3 linked regions of the Macaca mulatta genome follow. The main gene of each other region encodes a partner of the protein of the gene in region 2 in a complex. Links are inferred from orthologs where the notes say so. Each region holds a gene or a part of one and is shown on either strand. Other genes may lie near its edges.

Evidence for each region. Proteins that work in one complex are often made in the same cells at the same time.
Region 1: the proteins of ITGB3 (region 2) and ITGA2B are in contact, whole or in part, in a cryo-EM structure (PDB 8GCE), measured with the Homo sapiens proteins. The link is inferred for Macaca mulatta from reciprocal best matches to the Homo sapiens genes ITGB3 and ITGA2B. Residues at the interface, in NP_000203.2 of Homo sapiens: Ser188, Pro189, Tyr190, Tyr192, Ile193, Ser194, Pro195, Pro196, Tyr204, Asp205, Met206, Arg242, Asp243, Pro245, Lys279, His281, Ile282, Ala283, Leu284, Asp285, Arg287, Leu288, Ala289, Gly290, Val292, Gln293, Pro294, Asn295, Asp314, Tyr315; in NP_000410.2 of Homo sapiens: Gln49, Phe52, Arg72, Trp141, His143, Asn145, Glu152, Ala153, Glu154, Lys155, Pro157, Arg184, Phe191, Tyr197, Glu199, Phe202, Pro217, Tyr221, Phe222, Phe262, Asp263, Tyr265, Tyr268, Thr290, Trp293, Thr294, Gln315, Met316, Ala317, Tyr319.
Region 3: the proteins of ITGB3 (region 2) and SHC1 are in contact, whole or in part, in an NMR structure (PDB 2L1C), measured with the Homo sapiens proteins. The link is inferred for Macaca mulatta from reciprocal best matches to the Homo sapiens genes ITGB3 and SHC1. Residues at the interface, in NP_000203.2 of Homo sapiens: Trp765, Asp766, Thr767, Ala768, Pro771, Leu772, Tyr773, Lys774, Glu775, Ala776, Thr777, Ser778, Thr779, Phe780, Thr781, Asn782, Ile783, Thr784, Tyr785, Arg786, Gly787, Thr788; in NP_892113.4 of Homo sapiens: Ser175, Met176, Arg177, Asn182, Arg184, Thr185, Gln186, Thr188, Arg189, Glu190, Ser193, Leu194, Arg208, Arg209, Lys210, Arg214, Pro215, Leu216, Ser217, Ile219, Met257, Gln258, Ser259, Ile260, Ser261, Phe262, Ala263, Ser264, Gly265, Pro268.

What each region holds. Positions count from the first base shown.
Region 1 is NC_133421.1:68,763,948-68,771,657, forward strand, and holds the start of ITGA2B (integrin alpha-IIb), read right to left. Parts: upstream 3,895-7,710; 5' UTR 3,621-3,894; coding exon 3,280-3,620; intron 1-3,279. UniProt on the Homo sapiens protein: Integrin alpha-IIb/beta-3 is a receptor for fibronectin, fibrinogen, plasminogen, prothrombin, thrombospondin and vitronectin. It recognizes the sequence R-G-D in a wide array of ligands.
Region 2 is NC_133421.1:71,568,876-71,575,851, forward strand, and holds part of ITGB3 (integrin beta-3), read left to right. Parts: intron 1-2,223; coding exon 2,224-2,319; intron 2,320-2,727; coding exon 2,728-2,817; intron 2,818-3,491; coding exon 3,492-3,626; intron 3,627-4,876; coding exon 4,877-5,306; intron 5,307-6,976. UniProt on the Homo sapiens protein: Integrin alpha-V/beta-3 (ITGAV:ITGB3) is a receptor for cytotactin, fibronectin, laminin, matrix metalloproteinase-2, osteopontin, osteomodulin, prothrombin, thrombospondin, vitronectin and von Willebrand factor.
Region 3 is NC_133406.1:112,029,370-112,036,941, reverse strand, and holds the start of SHC1 (SHC-transforming protein 1), read right to left. Parts: upstream 3,895-7,572; 5' UTR 3,737-3,894; coding exon 3,242-3,736; intron 2,660-3,241; coding exon 2,589-2,659; intron 2,047-2,588; coding exon 1,983-2,046; intron 1,827-1,982; coding exon 1,707-1,826; intron 1,470-1,706; coding exon 1,416-1,469; intron 1,244-1,415; coding exon 1,192-1,243; intron 1,013-1,191; coding exon 886-1,012; intron 1-885. UniProt on the Homo sapiens protein: Signaling adapter that couples activated growth factor receptors to signaling pathways. Participates in a signaling cascade initiated by activated KIT and KITLG/SCF.

The sequences.
Region 1 (7,710 bases), about 2.8 Mb from region 2:
TGGACAGTGAAACTGACTCTCAGCGCGGGCAATCACGTGCGTAAAGTAACCCAGTGAGTTGAGAGTAAAGCTGGGACTATAAGGGGTTTGAGATCTTTGCTGAAAAAGACCTAAATTCTGTACAACATCTCCATCCTTCCACCCATAACAAGAACCAGAGGTTCACGTGCTCCCTAGAATGCCTGTCTTGACTGTTACCAGATCCCCTCTTTTTTTTTTTTTTTCTTTTTTTTTTTGAGATGCAGTCTCGTAGTCTCCCTCTGTCGCCCAGGCTGGAGTGCAGTGGCGCGATCTCGGCTCACTGCAAGCTCCGCCTCCCGGGTTCACGCCATTCTCCTGCCTCAGCCTCCCGAGTAGCTGGGACTACAGGCGCCCGCCACCACGCCCGGCTAATTTTTTGTATTTTTAGCAGAGACGGGGTTTCACCATGTTAGCCAGGATGGTCTCAATCTTCTGACCTCGTGATCCGCCCGCCTTGGCCCCCCAAAGTGCTGGGATTACAGGCGTGAGCCATCGCGCCGGGCCCAGATCCCCTCTTGAGAGCTGGTTTTAATGAGGGAAGGTAGAAGGTACCTCTGAAGTGGGGCTGGAGTGTGTGTGCTGATAGAGATGAGGACCCTAGCAGATCTAGGTTTAAATCACAATTCTGCCATTTGTGAAATAGGAATACCAATTTCACAACCAATGACTTTTTCACAACCAATCAAAACGGTCAGGAGTAAATGTAATAAATACGAGTAATGGTTAGCATGGTCCCAGCCAAATACATAACAAATGCTCTTGAAACAATGCTATAATTTTAAAAAATAATTTTGTTGTTTTGAGACCGGGTCTCATTCTGTTGCCCAGCTGGAGTGCAGTAGCACGATCACAGCTCACTGTAGCCTTGATCTTCAGGGCTCAAGAAATCCTCTCCCCTCAGCCACCCGAGTAGCTGGAACTGTGGGTGTGCAACACCATGCCTAGCTAATTAAAAAACTTTTTTTTTTTTTTTTGAGACGGAGTCTCGCTCTGTTGCCCAGGCTGGAATGCAGTGGCCGGATCTCAGCTCACTGCAAGCTCCGCCTCCCAGGTTAAAGTCATTCTCCTGCCTCAGCCTCCCTAGTAGCTGGGACTACAGGCGCCCGCCACCTCACCCGGCTAGTTTTTTGTATTTTTTAGTAGAGACGGGGTTTCACCGTGTTAGCCAGGATGGTCTCGATCTCCTGACCTCGTGATCCACCCGTCTCGGCCTCCCAAAGTGCTGGGATTACAGGCTTGAGCCACCGCGCCCGGCCAAAAAACATTTTTTTATAGGCCAGTCATGGTGGCTCACACCTGTAATCCCAGCACTTTGGGAGGCTAAGGGATTACAGGCGTGAGCCTCTGTGTCTGGTCTATAATTTTTTTTAACCGCAGAATGTTTAAGTAGTGCCAATGGGATCACTACTTATAGGAGGAGAGATAAGCAGGAGTGGGCACAGGAAGGAGTTGAGCTGATTCAGGCCCAATGACAGCATTCGCCAACACCCACAAGCTCTGGAGCTAGAATGACCTTTCAAAATTGTCAGAGTTGGCCGGGCGCGGTGGCTCACACCTGTAATCCCAGCACTTTGGGAGGCTGAGGCGGGCGAATCACCTGAGGTCAGGAGTTCGAGACCAGCCTGGCTAACATAGTGAAACCCCGTCTCTACTAAAAATACAAAAATTAGCCAGGCATGGTGGCATGCACCTGTAATCCCAGCTACTCGGGAGGCTGAGACAGGAAAATCGTTTGAACCCAGGAGGCGGAGGTTGCAGTGAGCTGGGATCATGCCATTGCACTCCAGCCTGGGCAACAAGAGCAAAATTCTGTCTCAAAAGAAAACAAGAAAAAAAAGGCCCGGCGTGGTGGCTCATGCCTGTAATCCCAGCACTTTGGGAGGCCAAGGCAGGCGGATCACCTGAGGTTGGGAGTTCGAGACTACCCTGACAGAAACCCCATCTCTACTAAAAATACAAAATTAACCGGGTGTGGTGGCACATGCCTGTAATCCCAGCTACTCGGGAGGCTGAGGCAAGAGAATCGCTTGAACCTGGAAGGTGGAGGTTGTGGTGAGCCGGAGATTGCACTATCGTACTCCAGCCTGGGCAACAAGAGCCAAACCCCGTCTCAAAAAAAAAAAAAAAAAAAAAAAAAGAAAAGAAAAAAAAAGAATTGTTAGAGTTGATGAAAGAGGGAAAGAGGGCTGGACCCTTATCAAATGCCTCCCCACCCCCCGCCTCCACTCTCCCCACTCGCCCACTTCTCATTGTTCAGTCACTGGATGTGGGCCACCTTGGGAGGGGACTTTGAGTGAACTGGCTGTCTTCAGCAGGGGAGATCCCCTAAGTGGCTGACACTTGAAGGCTATCTGCCATTGCCACCCATTGCCACCCCCTGAAGCTGGTGGGCACTGTGTCTCTCACGGTAAGTAGCTCAGGGTACACACTATGAAGAGGAGCCAAGACTCTAATCTTGGGCACTCTTGATTCTGAAGCCTGATCAATACTAACCATTAATGACCTATTGCTTCTTTTCAAAAATTTATAATGTTGGTGGAGATGAGGGAAATGGAATAGAAATGCAAGATTGGGGAGGGTAGACAACTTTAGTTCTGCAAATCAATTTTAGGACATGTGCTCCTCTCCACGTTTCTTTCTTTCTTTCTTTTTTTTGAGACAGAGTTTCGCCTAGGCTGGAGTGCAATGGCGCGATCTCAGCTCACCACAACCTCTGCCTCTCAGGTTCAAATGATTCTCCTGCCTCAGCCTCCCGAGCAACTGGGATTACAGGAATGTGCCACCATGCCCAGCTAATTTTTTTTTTTTTCTTTTTTTAGTAGAGACGAGGTCTCTCCATGTTGGTCAGGCTGGTCTTGAACTCTCGACCTCAGGTGATCCACCCGCCTTGGCCTCCCAAAATGCTGGGATTACAGGCGTGAGTCACCATGCCCAGCCTCCTCTCCACATTTCAAGGTGTTGAGGGTGGTGTGGTTCATACAACTGACCCTTGGGGAAAAAATAAAGCATCAACTCTTGTCTTCCCTTGGTTCTTGCTATAGTTTCAGTGCCCATCACCCACACCTGTGCCCTGCCCTTACACCTTCACCTGAGCCAGTCCCCCAGACCTCAGCATTCTTGACAAGAAATCAACCTGAATAGGCCCCACAAGTCACCTTGCTCAACTGCCATAACAAATGGGAAACTTGAAGCCCCCAGAAGCAGTGATGGGGAAGGGTCCTGCTCTTTCCCAATACCCAAACTTCCCTCATAGCTCACCTCCCATGGCTGTCCTTGTGGAAGTCCAGTGAAAACCCAAAGTGGCTGCCATTGGGGCCTGCATAGAAGGTGAGATGCACTGGGTCCAGGTTCAAGGCCCAGGCTGGAGGGGCAGCACAAGGTCCCAAGAGCAGCAGCACCCACTCCAGAAGCCAGAGGGCTTGCAGTGGACACAAAGCTCTGGCCATCTTCCTTCTTCCACAACCTCCCAGGCAGGAATGGACCAGCTCCTCCTTCTTCCCTTCAGATTCCTCCACAGGAAGTCTTTTCTTATCAAACTGCAACCCCAAGTAACTTGCTGAGCAATGGGCAGAGCAAAGGGCTATAGCCCCTGGACTCATGGTGGCTAGAATTGTCAGGAAGTGGGTGAGGCCATGCTCATGGCTGGATGCTCATAGCTGAAAGCCATGAGTCCTCCCTTTTCCTGAGAATAGTTTATTACCAAGTCCTATTGGTTCTGCCTATCAACGATGTCTCTTGAATCTTTACCCCATCTCTAATACCACCATGCTAGTCCAAGCCACCATCACTTTCTGCTTGGGATACCGTGATTGTGAACTGGTCCATACCTGTCTACTCTAGCCTACAGTTCTAATCTCCTCCCTTCCCCCATCTGGTTGTACAGCTGTGGTGCTTTGTGACTTAGCCAGAGGTTGGGGAAGGAGAAGGAAGCTGCTGCCCTCTGATAAAACCTGAGGCTGCTGTGTCTTTTTGGATATGGCATTTACCCGCTTCCTCCTAGGACCTTGGGCGGCCTCAACCAGCCATACTGGCGCAGCAGCTTCCTCACTTGTCTGTCTTGAGCCAAGTTTTAGTGTGGCCACAGCAGTGCAGTCAGTGCTGGGGACAGGGTGGTGAACGGACCTTGGTCTAGGTGGCAAGGATATTGGGGATAAAGTGGAGTTATTCCAGGGAATTTTGACTCACAGGTTCTGAGATTATGCATTAGCTGTTCAGTTGAAGGTAGGCCCTCAATCCTTTTTGGGTGACGGAGCTCTTGTCTAACCATTAAGACTTGATTCTGGTTGGGGTCTTTGCCTAGGGGAGCCTTCCCTGACTCCTCAGGCTGGCCGCATGGGCTAACACACATAGGCACAGTATTGAGCACACTGTTTACTCATGGTCTGTTCACAGGATTATGTAAATGAGTCCCTTGGGAGCAAGGCTCCTTGCTACAGCCCTAGAGACTACCCAAGAGTCCAACATGTAGTACGTGTATTGCCGAACGACTGGACGGAAACACACACTAAGGATGGAAGATGCAAATATAGGGTGACAAAGTGAAGGGATGAGTTTTGAGCAGAAAGGCTGTCATTTTCTCTGGGTAAGCGGAAGAGGAGGAGTGCCAAGTCTTACTGGCACTCGTGCCTTCCCAAAAAAGCAGGTTCTCAGGAAGGAGATTCAAGAGGTTTGCTAGGGGTAACCATAGCCACATTTTCCTTTTGATTTCTATTTTCCGACCAAACTTAACCATTGCTGTATCCTGCTCAACCACCCTGTGCCATTTTGAAGTCCCCTCATAATTTACTACCTCAGCATAGAGCTAAGAATCTTATCCTTTATAGGACAGGAAGCTAAAAGCCTAGACTTTGGTCTGAGCCTTCTTCATTGCTGAATTCCCAGTGTCAAGTACACGGGAGGCATGTGATTAATGTATTTGCTAGAATGAATACTTAACCCAGTCTTCTACTTACCTTCTATTCTCCCACTGTCCTCAGGTGAGTGAGTGCTGTATTACTGGTGTATTCTGTGAGGCCAAATATTAAGTCACATTTCACTCAAGTTTTCAATAAGTATTTACTCTGTTCAAAGCACTGTGTTGATAAAGGATACAAAGATAACCATCAGGCCAGATACAGTGGCTCACGCCTGTAATCCCAGCACTTTGGGAGGCTGAGGAAGGAGGATGGCTTGAGCTCAGGTATTTGAGACTAGCCTAGGCAATACAGTGAGACCTCGTCTCTATTTTAAAACTATAAAAAATAAAATATTTTAAAAACTCCAAAGATAGCCATCAAGGAGCCTTAACAAACAGCCCAGAAAGAGTTAAGACATGAACACACGGCTGGGCACGGTGGCTCAAGCCTGTAATCCCAGCACTTTGGGAGGCCGAGACGGGCGGATCACGAGGTCAGGAGATCGAGACCATCCTGGCTAACACGGTGAAACCCCGTCTCTACTAAAAATACAAAAAACTAGCCGGGCGAGGTGGCGGGCGCCTGTAGTCCCAGCTCCTCAGGAGGCTGAGGCAGGAGAATGGCGTGAACCCGGGAGGTGGAGCTTGCAGTGAGCTGAGATCCGGCCACTGCACTCCAGCCTGGGCGACAGAGCGACACTCTGTCTCAAAAAAAAAAAAAAAAAAAAAAAAAAAAAGACATGAACACACATAACCGCAGCAGAGACAGTAAAGCATACCTTGAAAAATATACAGATTATCAAAGTCATCTATCATTGTTCCTCATGACAACCCTAGGAAATAAGTACTATTAATGCCCATTTTATAAACACAAAACTGCGGCACAAGAGTTTTAGGTGAATTGCCCACATTTACACAGCCAACGAATGGCAAAACTAAGATTCAAACATGGGTTGCACTTGAACTCATGTTCAAGTTGCCTTTTGTTAGAGAATGAAAGGGTTTTTAGGCATAGAGAATACATGAGAGCAGCAAAGGAACACAGAGGTGGGGAAGGACAAGTAGTTGACTCAGCATAGCAGAGTGCTTAAAGGGGTGGACTGAGGTGCAAGGTGGGAAAGGAAAGCTTGGGGGTTCTAATTACTGAAGGTCCTTGAATACTGTATTAAGGAATCTGAACTTTAATCCATGGGAGATGGAAAATCATAAAGATTTTAGCCAGGCACGGTGGCTCATGCCTGTAATCCCAGCACTCTGGGAGGCCGAGTGGGTGGATCAGGAGTTCGAGACCAGCCTGGCCAATATAGTGAAACCCCGTCTCTACTAAAAATACAAAAATTAGCTGGGCGTGGTGGTGCATGCCTGTAATCCCAGCTACTTGGGAGGCTGAGGCAAGAGAATTGCTTGAGCCTGTGAAGCAGAGGTGGCAGTGAGTCGAGATCATGCCACTGCACTCCAGCCTGGGCGACAGAGTGAGACTCTGTCAAAAAAAAAAAAAAAAAAAAAAGAGAGGAAAAGAAAATTATAAAGATTTTTAGGCCAGGTGTGGTGGCTCACGCCTGTAATCCCAGCACTTTGGGAGGCCAAAGTGAGGATTGCTTGAAGCCAGGTGTTTGGGACCAGCCTGGGCAACATAGTGAGACCCTGTGTCTACAGAAAAATTAAAATTAGCCAGGCATGGTAGTGCACACCTGTAGTTCCAGCTACTGAGGAGGCTGAGGCAGGAGAATCACTCGAGCCCAGGAATTTTAGGTTACAGTGAGCTATGATTTTGCCACTCCACTCCAGCCTGGGCAAGAGAAAGACTATGCCTTAAAAACAATTTATTTATTTTTATTTTTTGCTGGGCATGGTGGCTTACAGCTGTAATCCCAACACTTTGGGAGGCCAAAGTGGGCAGATTGCTTGAGGCCAGGAGTTCGAGACCAGCCTGGCCAACATGGCGAAATCCTGTCTCTACTAAAAATACAAAAATTAGCTGGGCGTGGTGGTGCACACCTAGAATCTCAGCTGCTTGGGAGGCTGAGAAGGAGAATTGCTTGAACCCAGGAGATGGAGGTTGCGGTCAGCCACGATTGCGCCATCGCACTTCAGCCTGGGCAACAAGAGTGAAACTCCATCTCAAAAAAAACACACAAACCACAAACCAAAAAACGCATTTTTGAACTTTTTTTTTGGCTCAATTCTGATGCACAATCCTCAGTTAATGGTGTTGTACTTGGCTCATATTCTTTTTATTTTTGAGACAGGGTCTCGCTCTGTCACCCAGGCTGCAGTGCAGTGACCTGATCATGGCTCACTACAGACTTGACCCCTGGGCTCAAGCAATCCTCCCACATCAGCCTCATGAATAGCTGAGACCACAGGCTTGTGCCACCACGCCCAGCTAATTTTTAGTTTTTTTTGTAGAGATGGGGTCTTGCTATGTTACCCAGGTTGACCTCGAATTCCTGAGCTCAAGAGATCCTCCCGCCTTGGCCTCCCAAAGTGCTGGGATTATAGGCATGAGCCATTGCACCTGGCCACTTTGCTCATATTCTTGAACATATAATCAAAATGTTTACCATGTATTAAGCGCGAGATACACTGAGTGCTGCGGGGGGGATATAAGAATCACTCCCTGTTCTCTCAGAGATCACAGTTTTACTGGGAAGCAGTGAATACAGAATGAGTTGCATTCAGATTCTGAAAAGCCAGTAAGCTTACACAGAACAGGGAATTAGGTTCTAGTCAGGAAGGCCACCGAGGAAAATGCTGCAATAATTGAGATATGAGTTGGTAGAAGTGAGTGAAGC
Region 2 (6,976 bases):
CAGCAGCATAGCAACAGCATCATGGGATCCAGAATGGACCCAAAGGATTTTTACAACCCAAATGGAAAGCAGGTCTTCCTTTCCACTTTGATTAGCCCTTTCTTGGAATACCATACTAACTTGTGGTTATTGGAAGAAGATAGAGGAAAAAAAGAGAAAGATTGGCCAGGCATGTGATGGCTCATGCCTGTAATCTCGGCACTTTGGGAGGCTGGGGTGGAAGGATCACTTGAGTCAAGGAGTTTGAAACCAGCTTGGGAAATATAGTGAGACCCTGTCTCTGCAAAAAATGCAAAAATTCACTGAGTGTGGTGGCTTGTGCCTGTGGTCCCAGCTACTTGTGGGGCTGAGGCAGAAAGATCTCTTGAGCCCAGTAGTCTGAGGCTGCAGTGAGCTGTGATCTTGCCACCACACTCCCGCCTGAATTGCAGAGCAAGAACCACCACTGCTTTTTTTTTGTTTTATTTTGATACAGAGTCTTGCTGTGTTGCCCAGCTGGGGCGCAGTAGTGCAATCTTGGCTCACTGTAGCCTTCACCACCTCAGTCTCCTGAGTAGCTGGGACCACAGGCATGAACTACCATGCCCGGCTAATTTTTGAAAACAGGGTCTTGCTAGGTTGCCCAGGCTGGTCTCGAACTCCTTGGCTTAAGCAGTCTGCCCCCCTAAGCCTCCCAAAGTGCTGGGATTACAGGCGTGAGCCATTGCTCCTAGTGGGGACCCCTTCTCAGAGAGAGAGAGAGAGAGAAAGAGAGAAAGAGGGGAAAGATCATCAAAGACATGGTGAACAGGTCCTACGAGGAAAGATTAAAAGGCCAGAGTCATTCAGCTTGAAAGAAAGAAGGCTAAAGGATGATTTAGCTTATACATGAGAACACGTCTTATAAGTTGTTTTATATCACCATAGTAGGTTAAACAAGAGCAAAATATTTAAATTGAATCAGGAGAAATTACTATAAACCATAAGAGAAATGTGCTGTAATGCTCTAGGTATCTGGGGCAGGTGTGAACTCTTCATCTCCTAAGGACAATATAGCAACTTCCTTATCTAGGTGGCTTAAAGGTATACCTGTGTAAAGGCAGGAGACTGAGCTGAGGATCTAATGAGCTCCCTGCAAGGTCTAGGATCCCATGGACATGTTCACAATTCACCACCCCACCCACACAGTGTCCTGGAGTTCCTTGGTGTCAGCCATATCCAAGTCAAGCACTACCAGGCAATGAGTCAGCAACCTTTGACACCTAATCTATGCAAGGCACTGGGCCAGGGGCTGAGGGAGGTAACAAGACTATGTATGGTTCTATCCTTACAGAGTTTTTGGTCTAGTTGAGGAGAAAGGATATATATATATTTACAATAACACAAGATGCATGATTAGTGCTAAATGGGTGTGGCAAAGCCAAAGTGGGCTATACGTATCCAAGGGAGGAAAGCTCATCATGAGCTGGAAGGAGGTCTCTTGAAGGAAGTCTCTTGAAGGAGGTGGGGCCTAAGCTGGGCCCTAAGAAAGGAGGAGGATTACCAACAAGAAGGCAACTCCAGGTGGGAGACAGTGGACCAGATCACTGCTGAGTGGAAGAGGGAGAGAGGTGAGTAATATTTGGAAAGAAAGACTGAGACCACACGGTGGAGGATCATGAGGGCCAGGCCAAGGCATCGGTCAGTAGTTCCAAAACAGAGGCCTAACCCAGTGCCTTGTGCAGGGAAGCAGCTCCATTGTATTAGTGCATTAAATTCAAGCAGGAAGAAAGAGGTGCTTAGTTTTGACATCACTGGCCTGCACCTCTTTGTCTATCCCTGGAGTTCACAAGTAGACTTCTGTGCTACTTACCCTTCTTGTCTCACTGTACCCCCCGCCCCCCACTCTTTTTTTAGTTTTAGAGACAGAGTCTTGCTCTGCTGCCTGGGCTGGAGTACAGTGGTTCAATCATAGCTCACTGTAACCTCCAACTCCTGGGCTGAAGCGATCCTCCTGCCTCAGCTTACCCAGTAGCTAGGACTGTAGGCACTTACCACCACATCTGGCAAATTAAATTTTTTTTTTTTTTGTAGAGATGGGGCCTTGCTATGTTGCCCAGGCTCTTGTCTCACTTTCAGCATGAAGTGAAAAGGTTTAAGCACCACAACTCTCTGAGCCACAGCCCAAGCAAGATAAGTTCTAAGGTTTAGACCCTAGGGATGTACATGGCACTTCATTAACTTCTACATCCTTCATTTTTCTAGGATTATCCCTCTTTGGGGCTGATGACTGAGAAGCTCTCCCAGAAAAACATCAATTTGATCTTTGCAGTGACTGAAAATGTAGTCAATCTCTATCAGGTGACTGTGCCTTCGGGCTTCCTGGAGTGGGCCCTGTGATGGTGGGAGCCCCAGGTAGCCAGCCTGTGCTAGCGTTGGCCATAGTCCCCAACCAGGAAAGACTCTCCCCTAATCCACTGCCCAGGAGCTAAAGATTGCACTCTGGGCCTTTTTCCTGCAACCTTGAACTTACGAGGTGTGTGCTGGTGTTTGTGGTGATGGAGGGGAGGTGGCAAAGGGTGTGAGAGGCTTCCTCTACTTTTGCTCAGGGCTGAAAAACTGCTAGATATATTCCTGGCAGTGACCACTGAAATATCCCATACCTTCCTCCAATCTTCATCTCAGGACTCTCAGTGGTATTTGAGGAGGGCTTTTGGAGACCACCACCTTCCTTCGGTAAGCTCTGGACATCTTTGTCGTCCTTTCTAGAACTATAGTGAGCTCATCCCAGGGACCACAGTCGGGGTTCTGTCCATGGATTCCAGCAATGTCCTCCAGCTCATTGTTGATGCTTATGGGGTAAGTGTCTTGTGCTGGGAATAGTCCTGCGGAGAGTCCACCTCATTTGGCTTACACAGCAGGGCTCAGGTTTGTGAGTCCCAGGTGCCAGTCTACCACACGATCTTACTGCCTTCTCCGTGTGCTCCCAGAGGCCAGGCAGTGGTCTGCTCTAGAAGGGATGCAGCCTTCTGAGAAGGAAGTAGCCCAGAAAGAAAGAAAGAAAGGGGATGGGGATGGGGATGGTGATTAGTTGGAGAAGGAGCAGAGCCCTGGAATTGGGGCAGAGTGAGGGAAAACTGGGCTCCAATAACAGGGAAAAGAGAGAGCTGAGACATGGGGAAGGTGAGGTTGATGAAACATTAGGTAGAAAATGCTGCTTTCCAAGGTGACCAGTACTCCCCTTTCGCAACATCTGTGAGGCCTGCGGGAGGGTGTAGCTGGTACATTTTACCCAGACTCACCTAGACGCAAGTGGAGATGGAAAGAGGGAGCAGGTTCCTGTGCAGGAAACAGAGGAGGAAACAGAGTCCTAGGGGTGCTCCGGCAGCTTCCAGGTCAAACCTTGGCCTCTGGCACTGCTGGGGTAAGTCCAGAGCTACTTGGCAGATTTGGTTTGGGATGGAACTGGCTCTTGCCATTTCCCATTTCCTTTCAGTTCATTTTCTTGTCTTCTTGTGCCCCTTTGTGCTCAGAAAATCCGCTCTAAAGTCGAGCTGGAAGTGCGTGACCTCCCTGAAGAATTGTCTCTATCCTTCAACGCCACCTGCCTCAACAATGAGGTCATCCCTGGCCTCAAGTCTTGTATGGGACTCAAGATTGGAGACACGGTGAGATGGGCTGGGCAGGGCCTTTGTACTGGAGCATCTGTGAGCACCCAACCCCCTTTCTTCTTTTTGTAATGACTAAAAATGGCCCCCTTCCGCCAGAAAAAATATGGGCAGGAAAAATACCTTTCCTGAAAGTCATTTCAAGTTAGATGTAATGGATCCACCAATCTTTTCCTCTGGGGCTTCTGTTGCGTAAGCTATTTCTGTTACGTGAACTTAACTCTTAGGAATTTAAAAAACTTACAATTTGGTTACCTTTGTTTGTGTATGCACAGTTGATTGCAAAGGAAAATATTTCTTTACCTTCAGTCCCTCACCAGTCTCCAGCTTTCCCAAGGTAATTAATACCTTTCTTTTGTAAAATGACACAGGAAAGTAAAATCTAAAATGTAAAACGACGACATCATCTATAAATATTTATTGAGCACTGACATTGTGTCAGGCATTGTTCTAGTTGCCGAGAATTTAGCAGCAAATGGAACAGGCAAGAGTACCTACCCTCATGGAATTTTTGAAGCCAGATGTTCATTTCACCATCCAGTCCCTCCACGACTTTCCTTATCGGTCGTTTCTCCTCTGCTTCTGCCTAAGGGGAGAGGAGTTGGTGGGAGGGGAGGAAGGAGGGGAAGAAAATAGATCTTTGGATGCAGTGATCCTTTCTCTTAATCTATCTATCTTTCAGGCACTTGTGCAAGCATCCCATGTTAGAAATATTGTCCTGAAACATGCTTTATTGCATAAACTATAAAATGTGTGGAAATTGAAGTAGATCCTGAGCTTATGGTTGACCACTATGTGGGATTGTGTGGTGCAAAACAGTGCTTTGTGCATCTTGCTGATAATTATAATCAGTCCAGCTTGCTTAGCTGGCCAGAGCAGGGTGTTTATATGATCACAGGTTCTGTTCAGTTTCAGCTGGTCTATTTCACACGTGAAGTAAAAAAACAGCCTTTTATTATTTATTGACTGTAGACCATGTCTCTGCATCCAGCTACATATGTCACAATGATACTATTCCCGTGCTTGTGTTTTTGCTTTGCAGACCTTCACAGAGGTGGAGGTCTGTGGAACCTGTGGAAGGTTTGCTTTGCAGACCTTCCACAAAGCCTGAGGAACTCCATATTGCAAAAGCATAAGACACCCAATTTGGGTATTCCTTGGCAGGGCAGGGAACAACTTTTTTTTCCCTCCAGAGCTGGAGTGTTAACTGGGCCCAACTGTGTCTAAATACAATCTTGCTTTCCATCCAGGTGAGCTTCAGCATTGAGGCCAAGGTGCGAGGCTGCCCCCAGGAGAAGGAGAAGTCCTTTACCATCAAGCCCGTGGGCTTCAAGGACAGCCTGATCGTCCAGGTCACCTTTGATTGCGACTGTGCCTGCCAGGCCCAAGCTGAACCTAATAGCCGTCACTGCAACAATGGCAATGGGACCTTTGAGTGTGGGGTGTGCCGTTGTGGGCCTGGCTGGCTGGGATCCCAGTGTGAGTGCTCAGAGGAGGACTATCGCCCTTCCCAGCAGGACGAGTGCAGCCCCCGGGAGGGTCAGCCCGTCTGCAGCCAGCGGGGCGAGTGTCTCTGTGGTCAATGTGTCTGCCACAGCAGTGACTTTGGCAAGATCACGGGCAAGTACTGCGAGTGTGATGACTTCTCCTGTGTCCGCTACAAGGGGGAGATGTGCTCAGGTGAGGAGAACTGCACGGCCCCCTGTCCTGGAACCCACAACCCCTCATACATTTGCAACCCCTGGAAACATAGGCAAAGGCCTGAGATAGGTCTTTGCAGGCAGAGGTGTAACTCAGTGGTTCCCAATCTTTTTGAGTATAAGGACCAATCCACTTTTCAGGTTAAAAAAAAAAGTTACTGATAGATAGCAATTAAATTTTTACTATTTATAGACTTAGAAAACACATGTCAGAATATGTAGTAAGGTTAGTAATAATTTTACATGAGTTTATCTTTGTATCACAAGAGACCTGGAAAATAGTAGTATATATGCAAGGCATTGGAGCGTGCTTGAACAATGTCTGGAAAATGGTGTAATGCTCTTGTTAATGTTAGCACTATTTTGTTATCACTATTACTACTGTTGGTACTACTGTTATTTTTTGGATTCTAGATCTTTGCTATCCAATATGGTAGCCTTTAGACACATGTGGTTATTTAAATTAGCCAAAATCAAAAAATTAAAAATTCAGTTTTTCAGCTGATCCGTGGCCACATGTAGCTAGTGGCTGCTATATTGGACAGCATAGATCTAGAACATTTCAACGTGACAGAAAGTTCTCTTGGCTAGCACTGCCACAGAGAGTCCCTGCCGACAGATTGGGGATTATGATTTTGAGTCCTTCTACTCAGCAGGGTGCTGAGTTGTCATTCTCATTGCAAAATTCAGTAAAATATTGAGGCCCACTGATAATCTCAAACTAGTTTCTCCTTGCCCCAAGAACCACTCCTGGGGTACTTCTCCCGCTAGAAGTTGAACTAACGTTAATGTAGTCTTTATCTGCAGATATGTTGACAACACTCTCAGAGGGCAAATAGTCTGAGTTGTTCCTGGGGCACTGAGGATGGGTTTTTACTGGGCCATAATCACTGTGGTTTAATCCCTCTTGCGACAGACACTTGCAAGTTGGTTGGGACTGGGTTACGGGTGTATTGTGTGGCCAAACAGAGACATTATAATTGTTTTCTGGGGTGACCCTTGACTCAGATTGGCTTCATTGGCATTGGGTTCTTTTTTTTTTGAGAGAGAGTCTTGCTCTACTGCCAGGCTGGAGTGCAGTGGTGCGATCTCGGCTCACTGCAACCTCTGCCTCCCAGTTCAAGCAATTCTCCTGCCTCAGCCTCCCGAGTAGTTGGGACTATAGACGTGTACCACCACACCCAGCTAATTTTTGTATTTTTAGTAGAGATGAGGTTTCACCACGTTGGCCAGGGTGGTCTCGATTTCTTTACCTCGTGATCCTCCCGCCTGGGCCTCCCAAAGTGCTGGGATTACAGGCGTGAGCCACTGTGCCTGGCCGGCATTGGGGTTCTAATGAGTTGAGCTAATATGCAGATACTCACTTTAATACTGATATTAGCCTTTTAAAAAACTCACTTAGAAAGGTCGATCTGTGTCATTCTAAAGCATGACAGTAACATAAAAATGATTGCTTTTTTATTATCTACAACATTGTTTCCTTTACTTATGCTGATAAAATTTTAGAGAGAGTTTGAGAGGAAGTGTTATCAGAATGATTAGGGTAGAGCAAGAGATCAGATACACATAGATGAAAGCACACAAACAACAACCATTTGAATTAGGGGGTGAGGCAGGAGTTTCACTTCATTTTACTATTTAAAGTATTTA
Region 3 (7,572 bases), on a different chromosome or scaffold from region 2:
CACGCCTATAATCCCAACACTTTTAGAGGCCAAGGAGGGAGGGCTGTTTGAGCCTAGGAGTTCAAGACCAGCCAGGGCAACATAGCAAGACCTTATCTCTACCAAAATAAAAATACTACTACTCAGCCACGTGTGGTGGCATGCACCTGTGGTCCCATCTACTCAGGAGGCTAAGGTGGGAGGATCACTCAAGCCCAGGGTATGAAGGCTACATTGAGCTGTGATTGCACCACTGAACTCCAGCCTGGGCTACAGAGCAAGGCTCTGTCTCAAAATAAGTAAGTAATGCTTTTGCTCTTGATCTCTGTGGGAGGCGCTCCAGCTCCAGAAGCACTATGGGGGGGGGGGGTGGGGTGTGTGTGTGTGTGTGTGTGTGTGTGTGTGTCTGTCTGTCTGTCTGTGTGTGTCAGCGTCAGCAGGGAGGCGCTCCAGCTCCAGATTTTACCTCCAATCCCTACTGGCTCCACTGCTTATCCCTCAAGGCCTGAGGTGGGAAAGATTGTAATCTCAGGGAAAAGAGATATCCTCCCAAACCCAAAGTCTTGATGGCTTCTAGAGGCAGGAAAACACAGAATGCCAAGCAGAGAAATGAGCAAGAAAGAGGAATGGGAATAGAAAATCCCACCTAGCCAGAGAGAGATGTAACTTGGAGGCCCTGGACTACAGCTCCACCATGAGCAAACAAGAAAAGCTGGCCCTGCGGCAAGCAGGGCCTCAAAAGCCTTTCCTCCTGGGCCACAGGAAACAGAAGAATAGCAGGAAGTGGGAAGCAGAGGCACACAGGTTATTCCCTCCCTGAACCTCTCAGCTCAAGTGTGGGAAGAACAGCCCTCCTTTCCCAATCTTGGTCTCAAAAGCTGCTCCACACTCTCCCCACTTGCTCACCTGTCATGAGGGGTGACCAGTTTGGGTGGGTTCCTGAGGTATTGTTTGAAGCGCAACTCAAAGGCCTGGCCAATGGTGCTGATGACATCCTGGGCAAGCCCTTCGGGACACTCCAGAATGTGGCAGGCTGAGGGCACAGCAGAGGCTGTCAGTGAGTTGAGCCCACTGGGAGGAGGCACAGACAGGGGCCCTCATCTTCCTCGGCAGGAACCCCCACTTAGATCTACTTAGAGTGGGTACAAATGACCCCAGGTCCTACTCACCTCAAACAGCCAGACCCACCCAGTGCTCCCCACCATGCCTCACCTCTCTGATTCACAGGGTCTTTGGCAACGTAGGCGACATACTCGGCTGTGTCCTGGGGAGGAAAGTCAGAAAATTTTACAGTTCCACTTTACTCCTGACCCCTAAAACCCAGTCCTTTTCAGATATCCCCACAGTCCTAGCACCCCCACTTCTCTAATCAATGTCTTCCCAATCACTAGCCCCTTGCTCTTCTCCCACCACCTTTGCTCTGTTCCCCAACTCACCGGATCCCCGCCGGATGCAAATGAGATAGATTGCATGTGGTGGTTGGCGATGATCTGAGAATTAGGGGAGGGGATGGAGAAGGAAGGGAATGCCATGTGTCAGGCAGCCTCAGGGCCCAGAACCCTGGTGCCCCAGTCTCATTCTCTGGGTTCCTTATCCCATATCCTCATTTCCTCCTTCCCTACTGGTCTTCTGCTCTCAAGCCCTCTTCCTAGTTTTTGGCCTCCTAACTAGATCTCCCCTTAGCACCCCCATCGGTGTTTCTGGTCCACCTGCCCACCTCCACCAACCTGTTTGCAGTCTGCGGCCATGAGGTTGAGGCTGCTGGTGGAGACGGTGAGAGTGATTGGCATTCCAGCAAATTTCAGGTTACTCCTCCCCAGGATAGAGCTGAGCGGGCGGCTACAGGGCTAAGGTAGGGCCCAGGGTCTTAGAAGGTGAGGGTTCCCAGCACAGACAAACCATACTCTTGTCTCCTGGCCCTCTCCCCACATGCCCCACACTTGCCTCCTCACTGTCCCTCCACATTTCCCAGCAGCATCCCTATCCCCAAGGACCCCAAGTACCTTTCTCCTCCTTGTCGCCCCCTTAGCACCCGGCACAGCCTCACACACCAGACTGATGGCCTCCCTGGGGAAAGAGGGGTACTCAGACCCAGCGCCTGCCTGCCTGCCTCCCACTCAACTGGGGCTGCCACAGAGCTGGGGGAGGGGAAAGCCAGGCCAGACTCCCAGGGCACTCCAGGCTCTTTGTCGTGGTGGATTGAATTAAGGGCCTTTAATATTTGATGACACTGAGAGGCCGCTTCCTGGCTGATTGGGTTAGGGCCTCAATGGGTATAGCCCCACCCCCTTCCAGCTACCAAATGTCCCATTCCCTTCCCAAAGGCAGCAGCAACCTTCCATCTACCCCATTTGCTACTCCAGCTCCACCTGCCAGCTGCTTCTGCTACCTTCCCCACAACTCCCAAGGCTGGACAGGTAAGGAGGATCCGGGCCAGAGGGGCCTCCTTTCAGTAAGAGGCAGAATCACTATCCCAGCTTTCTCTCAATCCCCTTTACTACCCAAAGATCAGCCCCAACCAGCAGCACCCAAGTGACCCACTCCCCTCCGCCCTTTCCCATGGCCTCACTAATCCCAGGACTCCCACAGTCCACTCCCTCCCCACTAACCTGGTAACCTGAGTCCGGGTGTTGAAGTCCAGGGCACGCATTGACTGAAGGACCTCCACACAGCCCATGTACTAAGGGGAGGGAGGAGAGGACAGCAGGTCAGCCGCTCCCTGACCCCAGTCCCTTCACAAAGGGCCCTAGGACTTTGCCCATATGGTCCCTAAGAGAAGTAAAGAGGAAGAAGTTCTGCCCTCTTCCCGTGTCTACATCCCACAACCAAGGTGAAAGACAACAGGGAACGAGCAGAGAAAGAAAAGGCAGGCTAGAAGGACCTCACGCACTGGGGAGAGAGTTTGGAGGGGACTGACAGGCACTGACTGGGATGGAGCAACAACTCCAGAAAGCGGGAGGAGAATGGAGGAAAGGATCAAGAAGTCACTCCTTCCAGCACTTATTAAGAGCTTCTGCCATGCTGGGCATTGTGCTAAGCATGGCAGGGTGGGGGTAGGGGAGTCAAAAGAAGGAAGGGGGCCCAGGCAGAGCTGGAAGGGAAAGGGCTACAGAATTGGGGAAGGGATGGGAAAGGTTTAGGAAATAGAACACTGAAACAGGGTTGTTGGGGAACAGCAGGAAAAAAGAATTCCAGCCAAGCTGGAGTGAGCAGAAGAACTGGAGGGGTCTGGGAGGCAATGGAAAGGAGGATGTTCACTCACCCGAACCAAGTAGGAAACCCCGGGTCCCATGACTTTGTCGTTGGGATGCAGCCAGCCCCGCGTGGGCTTATTGACAAAGCTCCCGTGGCGGGTCCACTCCTCGCCCCCCAGCTGGCCCCCTTCCACCCGAGTCCTGCGCCCGCCGCCTCCACTCAGCTTGTTCATGTCCTGGAGGAGGGGTAGGGGGCCTGAGTCTGGCATGGCTGCCCCTACGATCCCCTCCCCATCATCGGCTGCCCTTCCTGGCTCCCCCTTAGACCCTGGGCGCCCCCCAGCCGGGTTGGCCAGCCTCAGGTTGCTCATCCGGGGGAAGAAGGAGCACAGAGTAGTGGGACTATCGTCCCCAGGCAGAGGAGGCAGGATGGGCCCCAGGGATGAAGCTGATGGGGAAGGCAGCTCCTCCGGGGGGGTGGACCCTGAAGCCCCCTCCTCCAGCGATGACAGAGACTCATTCCGGAGTGGATTGTACTTGGGCTTGGGGGGCAGGAGATCCATAGCTGAGGTGAGAGAGGGGCTGCTGCCCGGCCTGGCCCCCCTGCCAGTTTGGGCAAGGGGGCCAGGCAGGGGGTATCCCCAGGCCCTTAGCCTGGTCGGACCTCTGTGGCCCACGAGTCACAGAAGTCCTGGGGAGGGAGAGGGACAAGTGGCTTCCGCTCCCCAGCTCAGACCCAGACAGTTTCGGGCCCCATCCCCGCCCAACGTGGAGCCTCTTCTCTGGCTGAGAAGAGAACAGGCTGGACCCAGAGCTGCCTGGCTCCTCCCCAGGGGCGGAGAGCTAAAGGGAGAGACCAATCACGAGGACAGTGCTGACTCACAGGCTCAGAGGGGCTGAGCCCCCACCCCGCCCCAACCTCGGACTGGAGCAGAGGGTAGGGCTATCCAAGCTCCTCTCCCCTGCCCTACACAAACAACTAGTAATCTGGGGAGAAGGAAAGTGGGGGTGGGAGGGAAGCATGGAGGAGTTGGACGGAAAGAAAGGAGATAGGAGGTCTGGGTCACTCGAAACCGGACACAGGCAGGCCAAAGGGGGCAGGAAGCCAGGCTAGAGTAGAGGGGAATGAGGGAGGAAACAGAGGCAGCTGCGGGTGGAAAAGGGAGGAGATCTCAGAGCTCAGCATTTCCCTTCCTGTTCTGGTTGGACACTCGAATTCCCCACCCTCCAGCCCAGGCCACCCCCAACCACTACCCCATACAGTAAGCCTGGGCCATTAGCATCCTCTGCTACGACAGCTGTGGACTGGAGCTAGCGAAGTGGGGATGGGAAGGAAGTGGTCCCAATGGATGCAGAGCAGGGTCAAGAGGAGAAGCAAAGTTGGTGAAAAAAGGGGAATAAAGTCCAACCTGGATGGTACATCAGGAAGCTACCAGGCAAGAGGGGAACAAGAGGACATGCTGGTCACGGCTTGTTCTCTATGTATGCCATCTACCACACCAAGACCCATGGCTCATAGCCAAGCACTGTCCTCTCCCCTTTCCACAGGCCTTGTTAACACAGCACACTGTCAAGGGTGAGAATGAGGCAATCAGGTCCCCACTCCCACTCCAAACCACCCCAATTCATATCCCTCCTCTTACAGGACCCTAAGCCCCACCAAACAGCACAGTGTCCCTCACACCAGGGGAGGAGCCTGGCTGGAGGAGGTGGAAGAAACAGTTCTCCAAGAGAAGCAGAAACGACAGGCCAGGAAGGGACAGAGAGATCAGAAGACACATCTGTGTCAATAAGAACAGGAGAAAAAACAAGTAAGCACAGGAGAAAGTGGTGTCAGGAGAAGATGGGTTGAAGCTGGACACAGGGAACAGTCCCAAACTCATTCCTGCCACCCACGGCTTCCTGCCACTGCTCTTCTGGAGAATGCCATAGGCAAAGCTGGAAAGCGACCAAAAAACAAAAAACAAGTTAAAGATACATATTCCCGCCGGGTAAGGTGGCTCACACCTGTAATCCCAGCACTTTGGGAGGCCGAGGCGGGTGGATCACCTGAAGTCAGAAGATTGAGACCAGCCTGGTCAACATGGTGAAACCCCGTCTCTACTAAAACTACAAAAATTAGCTGGGCGTGGTGGTGAGCACCTGTAATCCCAGCTCGGGAGGCTGAGGCAGGAGAATCGCTTGAACCCAGGAGGTGGAGGTTGCAGTGAGCTGAGATCGTGCCATTGCACTCCAGCCTGGGTGACAAGAGCAAAACTCTGCCTCAAAAAAAAAAAAAAATACGTATTCACCCAAGCTCACCTTGGAATTACCCTTAGATTTACTTCAGAGGATTAAAATATAGATAGATAATTATCCTGATTAACAACATTAACACTTAAAGTGTGTTAGATACTGTGCTTAACTCTTAAATCTCCCCTTAGTGCTCATTCCAGAAGAGCCTTGTCACTCTGTCAGCCAATCCTGAGAAGGAATTTTATCACTTCTTTTCCAGCCAGCTCTCGGGCATAGAGAGAATGAGGAAAGGATTCCACTATAGCCTCACACCCCCAAAACACATAAACACACACTAGGATGTCCTCATCTGTTGAGATGATGTTCTCTGGGAGCCTGCAGTATCCAGGGCCAGGGAAAGACCAACGGGTGTGGGCGTTTGGAAGAAAAGAAAGAAGTATGACTGTTGAAATGTGCATGGGGAGAAAAGAGATTGCCTACTGGAAGTCAAGGTGATTGGGTGTAGGGAAAAAGCTGTATGTGGCTTCTCAGCCCAACTGGGAGGAGGGGAGAGGGGTGGGAAGTGGCAGGAAATGGCGAAAGCCTCAGGAATGTTTCCAGCAGGGAAGGCTGGGCAAACGGGGCCAGGAGGAATGCCCAGACAAGAACTATGGTTAGGGGGAGGGGAAGAGACAGAGAAGCAGCAACTGAACTGTCCCTTAAAAAAAAAAGAAAAAAATCAAACAACAAAAAGGGCACTATTATCTACCCCCACTCCAAACCACCGTTTTTCTGGTAGAAAACTTGCTCCTGTCACACCCACATGCCACACACCAACAAATCCATGGTCCTATCCACTTATGGATAGGCAGGCCTAGAGCTACTTCTGGGATGGAGTTGGTCCTGGGAAGGGAAGGCCAGGAGATGAGGCTGGGAGTCTGACAGCAAGTCTCTCTCCCTCTGGTGCCAAACCCTAAGTTCAGCCCCTTCAAATAGTTCTACCCTTGAAGGAGGTTAAGAAAGAGGAAAATGGGGCCGGGCGCGGTGGCTCACGCCTGTAATCCCAGCACTTAAGGAGGCTGAGACGGGTGGATCATCTGAGGTCAGGAGTTCGAGGCTAGCCTAGTCAACATGGTGAAACCCCCCTCTCTACTAAAAATACAAAAATTAGCCGGGCGTGGTGGCGGGCGCCTATAATCCCAGCTACTCGGGAGGCTGAGGCAGGAGAATCACTTGAACCCAGGAGGCGGAGGTTGCGGTGAGTCGAGATCGCACCATTGCACTCTAGCCTGGGCAACAAGAGCGAAACTCTGTCTCAAAAAAAACAAAAAGAAAGAAAGAAAAGAAAGAAAGGAAAACGGCTGCCTTTAATCTCACTCTTCACAGTCAGAGATAGGAACTTTGACTTCCCACCTGGGGGAGCACGAGAGTGCTCGGAAAACTGATCCCAAAGCCCAAAAAAAGACAAAGGACAGGAAAATATAAGCAGGTGGAGTTTCAGGGATTGACGACAAGGCTTTACAGCTGATGACCCAGGTCCCACAAAGCTCGTAAGGGGGCGTGGTCCGCCAGGACGCGAACTTCAGACTTCTATGCGGGGAGGCTTTCTGGACAGTCAGACACGGATTACGAACAGGGCGTGGCTTCGGAGGGGCGGAGCCCCGAAGAGGCGTGGCTCCAACAAATTCGAATCGTTCTTTGAGGAGCAGGGTTTTGCCCTTTTGGGAGATAGGCTTTTTGACAGGAGTTAGCAGAGGATCGTTGCTAGGAGGCGGAGTTTCGGAGAATGGAAGGAGTAACCAAGGGTTTCACGTAGTAGGGCTTGGAACGTGTCTGGGGGTGGGACTTCCAGGAAAACTGGGCGACAGGGTGGGGTCGGAGACAAAAAATAAAAATCAAGTCGGGGTTCGGGGGAGCCCCCAGAGGTTGGGAGGTGGGACTTCCGGGGAGAGGGGTCTCAGGGGCGGGACTTATAAATGAAGACCGGAAGTGGGGTCCCGGGAGAGGGGTTCCGGAGTGGAAGAGTGAGTCACCTAAGGAGAAAAAAGTCAAGACTCACCAGGGCCTCATGGAGTCTCCGCACCGCACCGCGGGCCGATTTGGTTCCGGATCACGCCACTGCCAGCTTAGGTTACCGCTCCAACTTTCTCCCCGGGCCCTGCCTCCCTGGAGAAACTTTATTACA